Drosophila melanogaster: one gene and its partner. The protein of the gene in region 2 interacts with the protein of the main gene of each other region in a pairwise test. Each region holds a gene or a part of one and is shown on either strand. Other genes may lie near its edges.

What was found.
Region 1: the proteins of CG7945 (region 2) and CG3492 interact in a two-hybrid assay, tested with the Drosophila melanogaster proteins (one large-scale study listed by BioGRID).

What each region holds. Positions count from the first base shown.
Region 1 is NT_033778.4:24,468,549-24,476,178, reverse strand, and holds CG3492 (uncharacterized protein), read right to left. Parts: upstream 3,468-7,630; 5' UTR 3,342-3,467; coding exon 2,127-3,341; 3' UTR 1,953-2,126; downstream 1-1,952. Other genes in the region: CG16837 (uncharacterized protein), read right to left, coding at 245-563, 635-708; CG3494 (uncharacterized protein), read right to left, coding at 998-1,720.
Region 2 is NT_037436.4:15,519,464-15,528,181, forward strand, and holds CG7945 (uncharacterized protein), read right to left. Parts: upstream 4,675-8,718; 5' UTR 4,370-4,674; exon of another isoform or gene 4,255-4,369; coding exon of another isoform or gene 4,049-4,254; intron 4,002-4,048; 5' UTR 3,753-4,001; coding exon 3,505-3,752; intron 3,118-3,504; coding exon 3,097-3,117; intron 3,040-3,096; coding exon 2,897-3,039; intron 2,733-2,896; coding exon 2,356-2,732; 3' UTR 2,248-2,355; downstream 1-2,247. Other genes in the region: mex1 (midgut expression 1), read right to left, coding at 1-46; yellow-k, read left to right, coding at 1,157-2,185; CG33986 (uncharacterized protein), read right to left, coding at 4,869-5,686, 5,745-5,760; CG33985 (uncharacterized protein), read right to left, coding at 6,449-6,667, 6,730-7,344; CG42729 (uncharacterized protein), read right to left, coding at 7,488-8,045; CG42728 (uncharacterized protein), read right to left, coding at 8,248-8,718.

The sequences.
Region 1 (7,630 bases), on a different chromosome or scaffold from region 2:
TACAACTGACGCATCCGAGGCTGCACTAATTGCCGCTTTGATGCGTTTTCCGGATTGCAAGCGCTGCATAAACGGATTAGTTTGCTCTGGTCTCGCTGGGCTTTTCCTAAATTTTACAATTTTCCGCCCAATCCACTGTGACCTTTGCTCATTTGCCGCAATTGCATGCAATTTAATTTGGGTGGAATATGGATACAGTACAATTAACATCCGCACACACACACGCACAGCGACCGGAAATGTTTTATGATGTTGAGCTGCTCCTGAGCCTCCTCAGCTTCTGCACAACGATCAAAATGAAGTCCGTGCCCAGGGTCATGTGGATTTCGCCCATATTGGAGCGAATCCGCATGAAGGTTATGTCGTTCGAGGGGTCCAGATCCCTGACCACGTTGCGGGCCATGAAGAGCAGCGGCTTCAGGTTAGAGACGAACACGAAGGTGCGTCTCTGACTGCAGGTGGATCGGAGGGGCACTCCATGGCTATCCAAGATCATGATGTCTCGGGCGCCGCGATGGGCGAAGAGATTGACGAACGCATCCCCATCGTAGGATCGACTGCGACTAGGGAGATGGACAAATGCGGAGCAGGTCAAGGGGTCTGTTGCTGTTGACGATTTCGTGTTCCAACTTACATAACCGCCTTCTTTACCACTGGAGTGCTTTTGCGCTGAGTTTCAGTTACTGATAACCTCGAACTTCTGGACATTTTCGGGCTTCGCAAATGTAACTAGTAGTGAGTATAGTAGTGTCCTCTTCCCAGCCAACTAGGTTTTGACCTATTTGATTTGATGACGCAGGAATCAGAGCTTACTATCATTACGAGTTCAGCAAACTCAGGCTGCCAGAAACTTACCCAAGGAGGAATCTTTGGTGAGGAATCTTCCATGAGCACGATTTAAGCAAAACTACGGAATTAGGGGCTAAACTGCACTGCTGTCAATTTATTTGGCAATACTTTGAAATTTGATTTGAATTAATAATAAATAATATATGATTTATATAGGAATGCGGGTGCGCAAGTAGCTGAGCAGCGCCGGAGTCCCCATCGATAGAATCTGGTGGCGGGGCTGGCGGAAGGGATTTCCCCACAGCTCCAATTCCACGAGATTCTGCATTTTGCCCAAGATCGGCGGCACTATTTGGATGTCATTGTTTCCCAAGTTCAATCTCTTCAGTTCCCGCATTCCGCCCAGGCCCGATTCACTAGCATCGATGGCACGGATCTGGTTGTCGTGGGCCGACAAGGTTTCCAGTCTCTCTAGCTCGTAGATGCAGCGTGGCAACTGGCGGAAGCGATTGTGGGAGATGTCCAGATTGCGGAGCAGCCGCAGTCCGCCCAACTCCATGGGCAAGTCGCACAGAAGATTGTTGGAGAGGCTCAGGTTAGTCAACTTCGAGTACTGCGAGATGTTGGTGGGAACGAAGGAGATCTGGTTTTTGTTCAGGACCAACTGGGTGAGGTGCTCGGAGAGCAAGGGCAGATCTTTGGGCATCTCGAGCAACCTGTTGCCATCCAAGCTCACGATATTCACTAGCTCCTGCTGAGCTGCCTCGAATACCTCCATGGGCACCTCGCTGATTTGAGCCTTTGACACCTGAAGGATCCGGGTGTTCCTCATGTGGTACTTGTCCGGAAACGGCCACTGACTCCCATCCGCTTCCGCTTCCTTTCCTCCCTGCAGCCTGGGGCTGTTCAATCCGTCACAAACCATATACATGTCGAGGATTACCTAGTACAGAATGAATCGATTCCGTAAAGAAGTTGAAGTGAGCAAACTTACTGAATTCTAGAAAAAGTGTATAATGCTTTGTGACTTGCTTCGCCTGATTCAAACGGAAAACTGAAATATCGAAGTATATATATATGAAGGAGGAAACAGCATATCCAAAGGGATTGTGATCCATCAAACCCATATTCAAGATACTTGGAATGAATGCACAAGTGTATCTCGTATCTATGTATCTATGCACATTAATCATTTACTTGTGGTTTACAGCAGCTTTAAGTGGGGTGACATGGCTTAAGAATAAGAATATAGATTTCCGCCTAGCAATTGATCCTAATTAATTTTCTTCGAAAAGTTATGAGTAGATCCCAACTATCTACTGGAAATTTTACACCTCTCAGATCACTCCACAGTCCGTCAGCGAGATCAAGTTGTGGCTCATGGGCAGGTGTCCGACGGCCACCTGAATCCTCTCCAGGAGCTGCATGCCCTTGCGAACCTTCCCGAAGGCGATTCTCCTGCCGTTGAGAATGGACAGGGGCTTAAAGCTGATGGTGAAGTTGACGGCAGTCCGGGCGTTTCCCCTGACATAGCGACTGGGAAAGGAGAGGATTCCGGCGTCCACTCCGTGGTTCAGCACCTCGAAGTCGTGCTCGATGTTGGTCAGCTCGGTGCTTCTCTGCGGATCCATGGCCAGTCGTCCCTCCATCCAAATGGGCGCCAGGGCGCGGTTGAATACGATGGCGCTACTGTTGTTCTGGGTGCAGATCCTCATGAACTCCAGCACCACCTGCGGACAGGCCTCGGTGAAGAGCTGGATGATCAGCCTGCCCTGGATGCGGGCTTCCCGCACCTCGATGTCCAGGTAGATCTGCGGACGCAGCAGCTTGCACAGAACGCCCACGTCGCATTGGTCCATCAAGTTCTCGTAGCGATGGAGCACGTGCATGGGAATCTCGCAGCTGAAGGAGCCCGAGGACTTGGGCTTGTACCGCTTTGACTTGCCCGCCTCTGGGTCAAACAGCTCGCCTCCCTTGTGGAACTCCTTGTTCTTCTCCAGTTGGCGGCGCTCCTTCTCCCGGGCCAAGTTGGCATTGCGCCACCTGCCGGCTGCCAGGCGCTCCGGCGACTTGGTGAAGGTCCGCAGCGTGTTGTTGCTCTTCTTGTAGAGTGCGGTCAGCATCTCCATGTAGGAGAGCTCCATGCCATTTCCCTCGATCTGCACCTTCGGGGGCGGCAGATAGGTGTTGACCTTGCCCTTGATGTTGGACATTCGATCGCGGTGCTGGCGATACAGCTCCCGCTGCTCGTTCATCACTATGTGGGATCGGATCTTGGGCATCGTCCTCCGGGAAGTGGGCACGGGGATCAGCCGCTGGTGGTGCCGGTAGTTATTCTCCAGCTCTTGCCTCTTCACATTAAAGGTGTGCTTGGGCCGGGAATCCTCCACCTGGCCATCCAAGCCCACCAGGTTGGGATTGTGGGTGTTGTACACCGGATTGGTCATTGTGTAGGGTCCGCGCTTCACTGCCGCCACATAGGGCGTCATGGAGCTGGGGATCTGGGGAATTTTGCCCCGGGAAGCTTGTGGCGCATCTCCGCGGATGAACATTGTGGCTAACTCTTCCAAAATCAATGTAGTCTATATACTTGAATTTGAAATGACTAAGCGGGGTTCGGGTTGTACGTGTGTGGTAAGAAATGTTTGACTGATTGGATTTGGAGGGGATGGGTCGAACTAACTGGCATAGGTCACCTGGATTGAAAACTATAACTGCGAGAAGCCATCTGGATTAGAGCGTGAGCCCACTTAATTATCTGCCATATGCGTTTTTATAAACTATAACTAACTGGAACATAAAGTGCGTGCCGCGGCGCGTCTGAATATGCTTTGATGTGGAAAACAACGTGAAATTGCACATTTCGGCATCAATTATTAATTCGATGTATAATGAGGCGCACATACGTATGCGTACATATGTAAAGTACTAAACTATGAAGCTCAATTTAATTATTTTCAACTATTTTGAACGGAATTAACACTGCGGTGGCCTCATAAATGCAAACTTGCATTCGTGTAATTAGTGATTAAATTAAAATCAGCAAATATGCACGTCATTAAAAGCGAACTTCACATCAGCCATTGTAACTTCACTGCACTTCTAATTCCCATTGTTTTTTGGCCAGTTAGCTACTTTAACTGAATACTATTGAATACTATTGTGTCCCCATGTCCACATATTTAAGAGCTTCATTATTTGTTGCTCATTTGCTGCATCCGGATTTGGCTTTATTTTCCGCGCTTTTGGCTTGTTGTAATCGCTGGTTAAATGGGCCATGAAATGGTTTTGACACTTTTTGTCAATGCAATCGGTGTTTTTAAGTCCGTTCAACCGTTGGCAGGATGGACAATTAGTGGCCGTGGCACTTGAATGACTGTGCGACAAAGTGTGGATAAATGGAGCAGCAATGCAAAGTAATAACAATAGAAACCACTGATTTGCACGGCCTTTTAATTTATAATATTTGTGTATTTTTTACTCATCCGAGGCCGTGTATTAAATCAAAGGCAGGGCGCTGGTCGATTCAGTCCCTTTTTAAATCGGATTAAACAATATCAATAACATATGGTGCCCATATTCGAGTGCAGATAAAAACAATGCACATTAAAAAATCTATTCGCATAGAATTAATTGATTGTTAATATGGTAGGGCTTTTGCGGTCACAATTAAATGATTAATGCGATTGTCTGCGGCACAGCACGATTGAAGGATAGACGAGCTTCGACGGGGGATATACTCATATCTGCATATGGTTGGGTTAATCCGATGCATTAATGGCCCCCACTCAGCCGCCAACGAGGACGTCAGCTGAAGGACATCCCGACCGGGCTAAGAGTGCCGGGCCAAGTGTCATTAAGCCAACGCTCTTATCGCTCAACAATCAACGTCAAAGTGGGTGGTTGGGCGGTCTGGATGGTTGATGGGTGCCTCCATAGACATTGAACCACTTAAGCGTTTTTATTCTCGAGTGCCACGCCCCCCTGGTGCATCAGATGGCGTATTATCATCGCAGTTGGTCCAACTTTCACCTCCACGACGTGTTTTGTACTTTCTCTAGTGCCGAGCCATGGCATTCGCACTTGATATCCATATTGCAGGGTACGTCTCAAAATGTGTCAACAATAAACACACCCACACACCCACGCCGACAAGTGACTGCAATTTGATCAAGCACACATGCACATGCATACTCGATTTTATTTTATTTAACTTATTTTACCCACAATGCCCTGTGACAACATGGTGCATATTTGCACCGGAATGTCGGTCTGGGTCTGGTTATATATGAAATTCTCCAACCAGTCCGGGGTAAATATGTTAAAGCCCTCGTTCCGGCCATAAGTTCTTTAAAACCTATTTGCATATTTCGATTTTGAAAGAAGCTCTCTCTGTTGTCATGATGTCGCAGCACCTGTGCTCATGAGCTCCTCAGATATAACTAAAATTATAGTCAAATAATAGCCACCAGGCGATAAAGTGCTCTTGAATGTATACATCACTCTGCCACGCTCTGACCTTGTGGCCAATGCCCCAAGCCCCCATTCATTCCCAGTCATTTTCTTATGGGCGAAAACAAAGCCGGAGCCCCTAGTTGAGAGCATAATGGATCATAAATGCTCTGGCTCCGAAAATGTGATTTTATTTTGTCTGCTCCGACGCGTCTTTCGCCTCCATTATCCCAGCATCGGGAATCTGGCTTATGGAACCTAGGAGGACCTGTCTTATTGCTGCCCGGCTCCTGGATTACACACATAGTGTGTTCCTTTGTGCGTACGAGTATGCGAGTATGGCCCAAGTGGCACAAGTGTATATTTTTATGACATTCTGTTTTCGCTCAGCTCATGGTTTGGAGCACTTTGTGATTGTCATATCTGCTTACCGCCGAAAAGTGGTGGGGGATTTTGGTAAGACAGCAGAAATCTTGTAAACGGAATGTGCAGGTATTTAAGCTGGGACTTGGCGAGGGTGAAGCGAACGGATATTAAAATACCATCCGCAGAAGGCATTTAATACTCCGCACAACAAGCCGAGACTTTAAGACTGACACCAGCTTCCATCCAGACCATTAAATCAGCTCCAATTAACCATTGCCTTGGCTCAAATGCCATCGATTCCAGGCCCCCCAGGCTGGATCCCCTTTCGACAGTCGTTGAGTGTCTGAATGGGCTGTGCCCGGAGCCATCAGTTAATTAATGCTATTAATGTCTTAGCAGTCGCTCTCGAAACCAGTAATTAACCGAGATGACAAATCAAGTTTGGCCCACAGGACGAGCCTGCGGGGATTATATCAGTTAGCAAGCGGGCCTAATTAACAATAAGCCAAGGTGTTAATAGCCCGACGACGGCCCGAACCCAAAAGTTCGCTTCCCGCCCGAAAAACATTTAATCCCATTCGGAGACAAGGTAGAGGCACTGAACCATCGCCAGGGCCCACACATTAAAAAACCATTTCAAAGGATTAGGTTTAGACTACCATTCCCATTCCCACTCCCACTCGACTCACAGTTGCTTACCTTTTGCGAGAGCCAAATGGTAAATTCGAAAAGTTGTTGTGCCGAAGATGAAAATGCTGAGATACGCTTTTAAGTATCCGTGTAATCTCAAAACAATTTATTAGCCAGGAAAGCAAGCAGCTGAGTGGGAAAGGCCAATTAGGTTAATGTGTCGAAAGAAGTCGCAAAATAAATTCCAAATATAGAAGACAGCCATAATTAAATGCCGCTAAAGTTGGACAGAAGCCGAAATGTGAGCACATTTTACCCGTATGTAAGCCTGTGCCATATTTATTTCTGAAGGGATTTGCGAGTAATTCTTAATTAAATTTATAAAACGACGAGCAACGAACAAACTGTAACTGCAAACCCATTTGAATGTGGACATCTGTGGATTGGAAACGTGAGAGTACGGACAGGACAGAACTGCCTCTGGCTCCTGCAGTTTTCTGGAAAGACTCCAGCCGGCGGGAGGGGCCACCACGAGTGTTCCTGAGACACTCACAAAGGGCTTGGCACGCTCACAGAGCCGGGCTTACATGCGTTCTCGGTGCCGTAGAATGCAGGATAACGGCCACAGAGTTGGCTCTGAAAAGCCATTTATCAGGACATTGCATAACAATGGCGCGCTGCCATAAAGGATATTCAAAGCGAGTTAAGCTTTATGATTCGAACACGTGTTAACAACACATAAAAGCAAGCAGCAAGCAGGAGCGGATTCCAACTAAATAAAACTGAATCCAAGATGGATTTAGTGGAGCAGAAAAACCCAAATCGCTGCCCTCCAAGATGGAAAGTGCAAAGTGAGTGCTCTTGCGGCGCTCCTAAGTCAAACACTACTCCATCGCTTTCATAATTTATACCGGAACGCAGCCAACAAACATAATAACTCTTGAGTAAAGAGGTGCCGTGGGCAGGAGCCTGAATGAAGTTCGCAAATTGCACGGATCATAAATTAGAATCAAAGGCAAACAGTCCACGAAGAATGAGAAAAGTTAGCTAAGCAATTGCGGTGGTATGATTTTACTTTGAGTACAACGCACTCAAAGGACCACTTCCATTTCCGAGTACGGTCTATTTGGAACACTATCCTGATAATACGGATTACAAACAACAAATATGTTACAGATTATTGTTAAATGTATAAAGACAAAATACAGCAGCTTGGAACGTTGGTTTTAGCTTATTATCCCCCTATCTTGGCCAAAATGAAACCAAAAGTGACAAGGAAAACATTTTTGTGCAGTTGATTGTCATCATAAACTATTCTCATCGTTTTTTGGTTCATTTCGACAAAAAAAAATTTTAACAATTTTTTTGCTTTTTTCATGAGGGGATACATCAC
Region 2 (8,718 bases):
TAACTTTGCCAGGACATTTAAGGCATTCACAAATGGCGTTGCACATGATGATAATCCTCGTTTGAAGTGTGTGTTGTATGAGTATTCGATTGTGCTCCCGAAAATGATTTTAGCGTATTTCGATCTGATCTTGGCCAACTCAAATGGATAACTGACTCTACGCGCAGTGCCATTTTTCCCATTTCGGCGTGAAAAGTATGAAAAGCTCTCAACCTACTGATGGAAAAAGAGAGAAACCGATAAAGATTCCAGTTATAATCAATAAAATCAGAAGAGAGGTGTTAGAAAATAAAGCTTACCACATTTTTCGGAGTGGGTGGATTTGTTTCAGATTATTTGAAGTGAGTATTATAATTTTTGCAATAAATTATACAATATCATTTAATTAGAAAAAATCTAAACATATAAACGAAAATGTAATGTAAACTAATGAAATTATTTTTTTTACAACGATAAATGCTCTATAACGAAGAAAGTTTCCAGAATAAAATATTTCTTAATGTTTATTCGTGTGATTAAATAATTTTAATACTTAAAAAAATACGAATGTACTAAAAACTGAAAGCTAAACAACATTAATTGATTCCTCGGGGGTTCACTTTAGCTTTTTGGCAATTCCCAAGTGAAATCAGTCATCTATAAGCAATCTTTATAATGGCTGTAAAGATATGATAGGGTTTTTTTGTACTTTTACGCGAAGAAATACTCGTTAACATTAAGGTTATGTTAAAACTAAGCACTTAAGGTAGGTTCAGTTCACAGGAACCTTATCAATATCGCTAAAGTTCGACAAAAATAGCCTTATTATGATTTATTTATTATAGGTTATTATGGTGGTACAAAACAACCATTTTGTTGGTTTTAACTTTGATTTATTTTGAAAAATATAACAATCCAATTTTGGGTAATTTTAAGAGGAAACTGTGTCATGATTTCGATATTCTCCGATTGAAATTGGTAAGCTTTTTTTTTTTGGGACCACAAGTGAATAGAGAAACACTCCAATGCTGGTCCCCATTAATGCAGGTCGCCGATATATTCGGCGACACCCGATCCCAACTGCTGATGTAGACACTTTGGTGGACTTCTTGAACGGGCACTTACAACGTAAGCAGAGTTCTCTAGCCCTAAGCTCAGTCTGAATTCGCGTTTAAAGATGGTCACACATGGTGTCCTCGGCTTGGGATTTCTCATTGTTGGTCTAATTCTGGCCACGGACGCCTGGCTGTTATCCGAATCTGGTTTAAACGAATCCAGCTACAAAGTCCGTCATCTATCGATGCACTTTTCGCGAGTGTTTCTCAGCGTAAATGTAGAAAGCAACGATGCGCCCACTTTGATCGAGGCGCAATGGCCGGTTTCCTATTTTCCCATGCCCACTGTCGTCTTTCCCCACATCGATGTTCATTCCATGGGGGATCATGATGATTGCTCTCTGGTACAACAGGCACACTGGTCCCAGGTGGATGCACTGAGTCGACTGTGGGTCATGGACATCGGATTTCCCGGCAGCACGTGCTCACCCCGTTTGTTTGTCTTCGATCTGATGCGTAACAACGCGGAGCTATTGAGAATCGATTGTGGACACCATATAGGTGCTAATGACACCCACTTTCTGACTGTCCAAATGGGACCCAAGAGTCCGGGATGCGAGCACGAGCGCCATATTTACTTCATCCTTGGAAAGGTACCAGAAATTCTAGCCTACGACATCCTGGAGCAGACGTGGCACCGCCTATCCTTGGAGAGCAATAAGTACGAGAATATGAATCAATCGTTTCCCATCAAGCCAGTGGATTTCATCTTCGGAATTCAAGGGGAACTCATACTCTCCGACCAGGATGGTGATCTATACAGTACGGTGGACAGACTGGAAATTGAAGGCAAAAGCGAATTAGCAAGCAAACCAATTAACAATAGCATTAAACTCACACATTTGGGCAGTCTTCTGGGCAGCAGTCGCAGCATGATCATCGACAATTTCGGAACATTGTACTATGTTATCCCCAAATTCGGAGCTGTCGTACGATGTGCCAAACTAGCCAACATCACAGCCGAGGGCAACGAAATCATATATATCACATCGAAGAACATTCAGCAGATTTTCTTCACCTCCAATGATGCATTATGGGTCCTAAGTGATCGGGTCTTGAATGCGAAGGACATGTGCTTTCCTAGCTTATAACATTTAGTTTGTTAATATAAATATTAAAATTATATTTTACTTGATTCAAACACTGCTGGCCTGGTGTATATGCTGCTTTCTTTATTATTCGTTTCATCTAGCTTGGTGATGTATTTCGTTTGGTTTGATAATAATGCTATGAATAGTTAATAGACCAAAAAACAATTTAATTAATGGCTAACAGTTTGCTTATTCAGATAAGCCATTAAGGCCTGGAGCCGCTTCTTGATGTTCTTCTGATCGTCCAGAGTGCAGCCAAGCAAAACGCTCTCGAACTTCTTGTCGACCGGCCCAACATCGGCCTCGGGCACGGTGTCCATGTGTCCGGATGGATCCATTGAGCTGCTGCAGCAGGCGTTTAAGTAAAACTGGCATCGTTGGCGTCCGATCACGGGATCACCCATCTTGATCATGCTGTCAATCAATACATTTATCTGGCTAAGGGAATCCTCCTGAGAGTTGTCCCGAACAGTGCGCACACGCAGCTCCACGGTGGCCAAGCGAGAGCTCACCCGTTGTAGGTACAAAATGATCTCCTCTCGTTCAGCTGCAAAAGAAGGTGGTACAACATTAGCTCACAGTCAACTATGAATAACCCTTTACTTAGTTTGTCATCAGAAACCATTACTTCCGACTTCGAAATAATACACATTTTAGTAAAGCTATGAACAATGAGGGTTCAAATTAGTTTTAAGAATCACTGTCACTTACCTTCGCTCATGTTCTGCATCATTTCGTTGCTCTTGATCAGATCCATGGACATCAGAAGGTAGTCTTTCTTCTCCTGCAGGTTGAGTGCATCCTTGCGCAGCTTCTCCACACGTGCATCCAAACTATCCAGTATGGTGACAAATCTGCGAGTCACTCAAAGGTTAGTCACGCTCAGTGGTTATTATAAATTCAAGATTTACCTCTCGCTGGCGTTAAATGGTCTGTCACATGTCGGTTAAGTGTGATTGCGGTTCAGTGGTTAAGTCATGAAACGAGACAAGCAACGTTAGATTGTTAGATCGCTCTGCTACAGATCGACTGACCACTTATAGAGCTACGAAATTATAACCAGAATATGTCTACAAGAAAAGGCGCTCGCACACAAAGCTCTTTTGAGAGTTGTGTGGGCGTTCGCGGCAGATACTTTAAGCTATCACCATTACTATTATGGAACAAAAGATTCGAATGAAGCTGGTAGCTGGTAGTGTGAAGAAATAATAGATAAGAAACGTATAACTTTTGTTTCGCTACGAGGTTGTGTGAATATAATCGGTGGTATTGTTTTGGTTTCGTGTCTGATTTGGTTTTAGTTATGATGGAATAACAACCTGTCCAGAGCTCTACTATCGTCGACGAGTCCGTAGGAGCTGTTCCCGCCATTGCCACCACCTCCGGATCCGGATGGGGATGAGGAGGCCATGGCATCGGCCCTCAGGTCTTGCAAATGATCAAAATTCATGGATGCCTCCGAGTGGTAATCGCTGGGCGAGATCTGATGCAGCTGCTGGTGATAAGTACTATGGTGATGATGATGAGTGTCACTGGTTTCCTGCGTTGTTGGCGCATCAACTTCCATATCCTGCGGCTGCTCCAGATTTGATTTAAACCTGTCGCCCTCCAAAAAGCCGGTCAAGTGTTTGTCACCCAAGATGGTTGGATAGCTGCCTACTGTTTCGTTTTGGGTTTTGGTTTTATCTTATTTATTTTTTTTTAGCCGCTTTGCTGGCTACTTTTTTTGGAATGTCTTAAGCTTTTTTTTTCGAGTGGGTGTCGAAGTGTTTGATGCTGTTGCTTAAGCTTAATTTTATCTGTTTTTGCTTTGAAGCTGCAATAAGAGAGAAGAGGAAGCGTGAATGCGCAGAATTCAATTACCTATCTGAATGTGGGCTGTGAAAAGAGCCTTCGGTCCAGGAGGCGTCAAAGCCATCATTGGACTCGGGCGTATCGGCTTCTATATCTTCCGGATATCGGTTTATTATCTCCGCCTCCTGGGCGGGTTGCGGCGGCGGTGGCGGCGGTGTTGTGTCCGACTCGCAGCGACGCCGTTTCCGAAAAATACCTCGAAAATTCTCAAACATTCTCGGCTGAAATCACCAATTTTCTAGAAGATTACGCCTAATTCTTCTTCTTTTCTTGTGGCAACCGATGTCTAGGAGAATCCCCGGGTGGCTGTTTTGAACTTGAATAAATTACCTGCCGCCCGAGACTTGAGGCTCCGGTTTTAATGCACCTTTGGCCCGATGCAAAAATATTGTTGATTTTTCGAGTTGGGCAGTTTGAGTTAGATGACGGGAAATGCTTGTGTTTCCAGATAATTCGTAGACACCGATTAATCTAACTTTGTTAGCTTCATTTTTGAGCACCTGGGTTGTTTACTTCGAGGGTCAATCGAATATTTCGCTTTACTTAAATGAAGATAAGTATAAATATGATTAATTTAACATTATATTGTGGGATTTGTATGACCGTGTCTGACTACCGCAAAAAAGAACAGTGGCCATATAGTCAACTTTATCGAAACCGATTCATCGAACATTGTTGTCGAAAGTTAGTGTGTACACACATTAGTTCTGGTTTTCATCTGTAATCGGCGGGAGTTTTAAAAGTAGTAGTACTTTTAAAAGAAACCTCTCTAAAAGCATTTGGTATCTCCCAAAGTTCAAAAAATTGTATGCTACATATATTAAAACTTCTATTTTATTAGTGGTGCCAAATTTAAATCTCGCACACACTGAGCCGTGCGCGACCATTGACAACTTTTGGTGGCAATATCGAAGAAGTAATAGAAAGGACATTGCTGCAGGCTGGCGTGTCCTTTGACGCAGTAGATAAAGAACTCGCATCGCTGCATATGGGGATACAGATGCTGTCCGTAGGCGGGGCAGTGAATGAGATCACTCGAAATGGCGGTGCCACCGGATGGGAAACCGGAATTTCCATTCGTTGGCATATCCTCCTGACCACCTACGGTGCACTGGGCTCTCTCCGGAATATCGCATTTACCCGTCATTGCATTCCAGTGCAATTGCGAGCTGCACTCCTGCAAGATCGCCTGTCCATAGTAGCAAATATAGTACTTTCTGCAACTACTCGAGCTGCCGACATATACAATCCTGTCGCTGGATTGTTGTTGCTCCACCAACGTGGAGCAATAAGTGGCGGCATCCGTGACCATGTTATTCGGATCTCCATCACCATTTCCGCCATCGAATGGAGGAGTCTCTATGGGATCCGTTTCATTTCTGCACTTTACATTTGTCGCCGAATCGCAGAGTCTGCTCTCCGAATTGAAGAGCATCGTTGGTGGGCAGGAAGCCAGGACTGCATCCCCGTTCTCAACGCACAGGTAAAACATGTGGCAGTCCTCCGCATGCTCCACAAACTCACCAACCAAATGATTGGCACATATTCTACTACCACTCTGCCTGATGGTCACCGAGTTTGTGGGCTTCGATGGTCTCCAGGTTAATTGCGCTGTGGCCAGCAAGCAGTTCACGATCAAATAGAAAGCTGGAAACCAATAAATTCTCATCATACTATTAGTTTTGAGAATATCCATCTTACTAACCCGTATTAAGCATCATCGTTTTTTCTATCGTCAGACTCCAGTAGAGCGCAGTTATATTCTAATTTCGTAATGCCCGGTGAACTTGGCATATATGTGATACATTCGGCGCCAAGATACAGCCGCATATGTGGCTCAGTATCAGAAAATTAACATTTTCAATTGCTTGTAGGAAGAAGTTGATAAGACTCCTGTATTTTGTTTTGCCAAAAAAGAAATATGGCTCCCTTTCCTCGCAATCAATCGATATCGTATCTCGAAATGGCAAGCAGATACAACTTTAATGCTGGATTTTTAATTTTAAAGTCTGGTGAAAAGGAAGCCGAGATTAGCTAGGAAATTGATTAGGTGATATCACGATGACATATGTTGTCCTTGTGAGGAAAATCGTATCATATCGGTCAAATTACTATGTTTCAAATCGAAGGTTGGCCTATTTTGGCAAATGTTTCGATTCAAGGTCTTCATTTTGCAGAGATATGAAAGAATTGCTTGATATCACCTGATAAATTTAGGAAAGAGTCAAGGTCGGCCGTGTTGCTTGATAGTTTTACAAAGAAGTCTTATTGATTACCAGTATTTAGGTTTATTCCATATGTAAACATACAACACTTTATGTTCAATATTTTCAATTTTTCCACAAAGCTCGTTAATTAACTAAATGTAAAATTTCGTTTTTTTTTTTTAATAAATATTATTATGTGTATTTAATAAATTTTCATTTGCATTTGCAGCTTGTTGTAGCATTTGGCTTGACCTAGTGCTACACAGGATCGCTTCTCGTAGTCCCATCCGTAGAAGAAAGGACACTGCTGGACCATCAAATAGCCAGAGCGACACTGGTAAAAGTAATTGCAGTTGTCGGAATGCGGATAAACATCGATTACATGTCGCTTGCACTGCTCCCTGGGATTATAAGTCATGGCCTGTAAATAAATAATTTATTATACAAAAATTATAAGATATGAAGTACCATAGGTTAACCCACCAAACACCTAACGTTTTCGGGATGATCGCATTTTCCGGTGAGTGAATTAAAGTGCAAACTGGTGGCACAACTCATGGGAAGTGCCACACCGCGATAGCAAATGTAATAATCTGAACAGGAGTTCTGATTTGGCAGCAATGCGATACGACTCTGATTATCCAGTTGTGGGCACACATTGGTCACAATAATCTCTATAGCAGGCGATACGGAAGTCGTACTGCTGGCTCCACTTTGATTGACTGATGGTCGTAATGTGACCACTGCCGATGGGGCTAATGTGGTGATTACAACTGTGGAAATCGTACTGGACTCCGAGGTAATCTCCGTTGAGGAGCTGTCGGTAGTGTTTTCCCTTTGCACCTCCGATCCCGTGCGACAGTCGATATCGCCCATGGGCTCACACATTTCCATATCTTGACTAAAGTATTCGCCATCCTCGCATTCACCATCGTATGACTCATCGCCGTTGCAGAAGATATAATGTGCGCAACTCTTTGGCGAAGTAACAAAGGATAGGTTGTTACCATCGTTACACTCATCGAAAACATCCGCATGACTGGTGGCCAGAAATAGGAGGGACACCAGGATGGATCCAAACTTCAATACTCCAAACATCTTCTCAGCTCGATCTCGAATGGTAAACTGATCGATTGCGTATGCAAACTTTGGGGTTTTCTTACCACCTTTCGTTATCAGAAAATAATTTGCCCATGAACACGCCTTTGATAATTGCTTTATTACAAACTGGGATATGAATCTTACAAACGTAAGCCCGATGAACGATTGGGTTTTGTGGCAACGCACTGTCCCTGGGCGACATCGAAATGGAAATTCTGTGGGCACTGCTGGAGCAACAGATAACCGGAAATACACTGATAATAGTAATTGCTATTTGCCGGATAGGGATAGACCCCGTTCCTTCCACTCGTCTTGCAGATGACATAGACATCGGTGCTCGGAACTTGGCTTGTAGTCGTGGTTACAGCAATCGTTGTTGGCGTGGTAGTAGCTAAAGTCGTAGATGTAGTATTGACTGGCTCTGCGGATGGTGCTCGTTCCGTAGAGGTTCCTATGGGTCTTAATGTGGTAACCGGTGTGGTAACCACATTGGTATAACACTCCACGGCCTCACGACAATCCCCATTGCAGTAGTAGGAATCATCGCCATCGCAGTGAACAAACTCACTGCACTCCTGATTCTCATTGGTCACCTTATTGATGATCACACCTTTGCATTCCTCGAGAAAAACCGCCTGCACCTGCACCCAGAGGTAGCCAGGTAACAGGCAGGCCAAGACTATCAACAATTGCCACATTCAATAGGCTTTCTGCACTGCCTCATCGCCGAGATCAGTGCCTTCTTTATAGGTGGAAATGCTGTGCGGTTTGCTTGTTCTCTGATAAGACTCTAAATTCATTTTTATTTTCTAGCTATAATTGTTTAATTTGACACGACAAGAGGCTTAATTAAAAGTTTGGTGCGATTATTTTCACTTTAAAGTACAATCGCTGGAGCGATTACGTACGTCCACCACAAGCTCCAGTTTGGGGATCGAATGCGTAGCCAATAGGACATTGCTCCACCAGCAGAAAGCCATCAACGCAATAGTAGAAGTAGTTACAATTCTGCGGATAGCTAAATCTTTTGGTAACACCCTGACGACACTCTCGTCGAATATCGGAAGGTGAAACAGTTGTCGAGGCTGTGGTTACCACATTGGGAGTTGTGCTTATGGGTAGTGCTGTTGAATTATCCACCGGAAGTATGTCGCTACAGGTGAAGTTGGCATTGCAGGTCGTGTTGTCCGTGCAGAACATCGAGTTCTGGCCAGAGCAATTGATGAGGGAGTAATTGCAATTGGATCGCGTATTGTTAATAAATCCATTCTGGCCACTGCACTCGGGTATGTTTAATCCATTGATTCCCCAGACAACGAGAATCAACCCGTAAACGATCAATAGCAGTTCCACGCGCAAAGATTGCTGCAT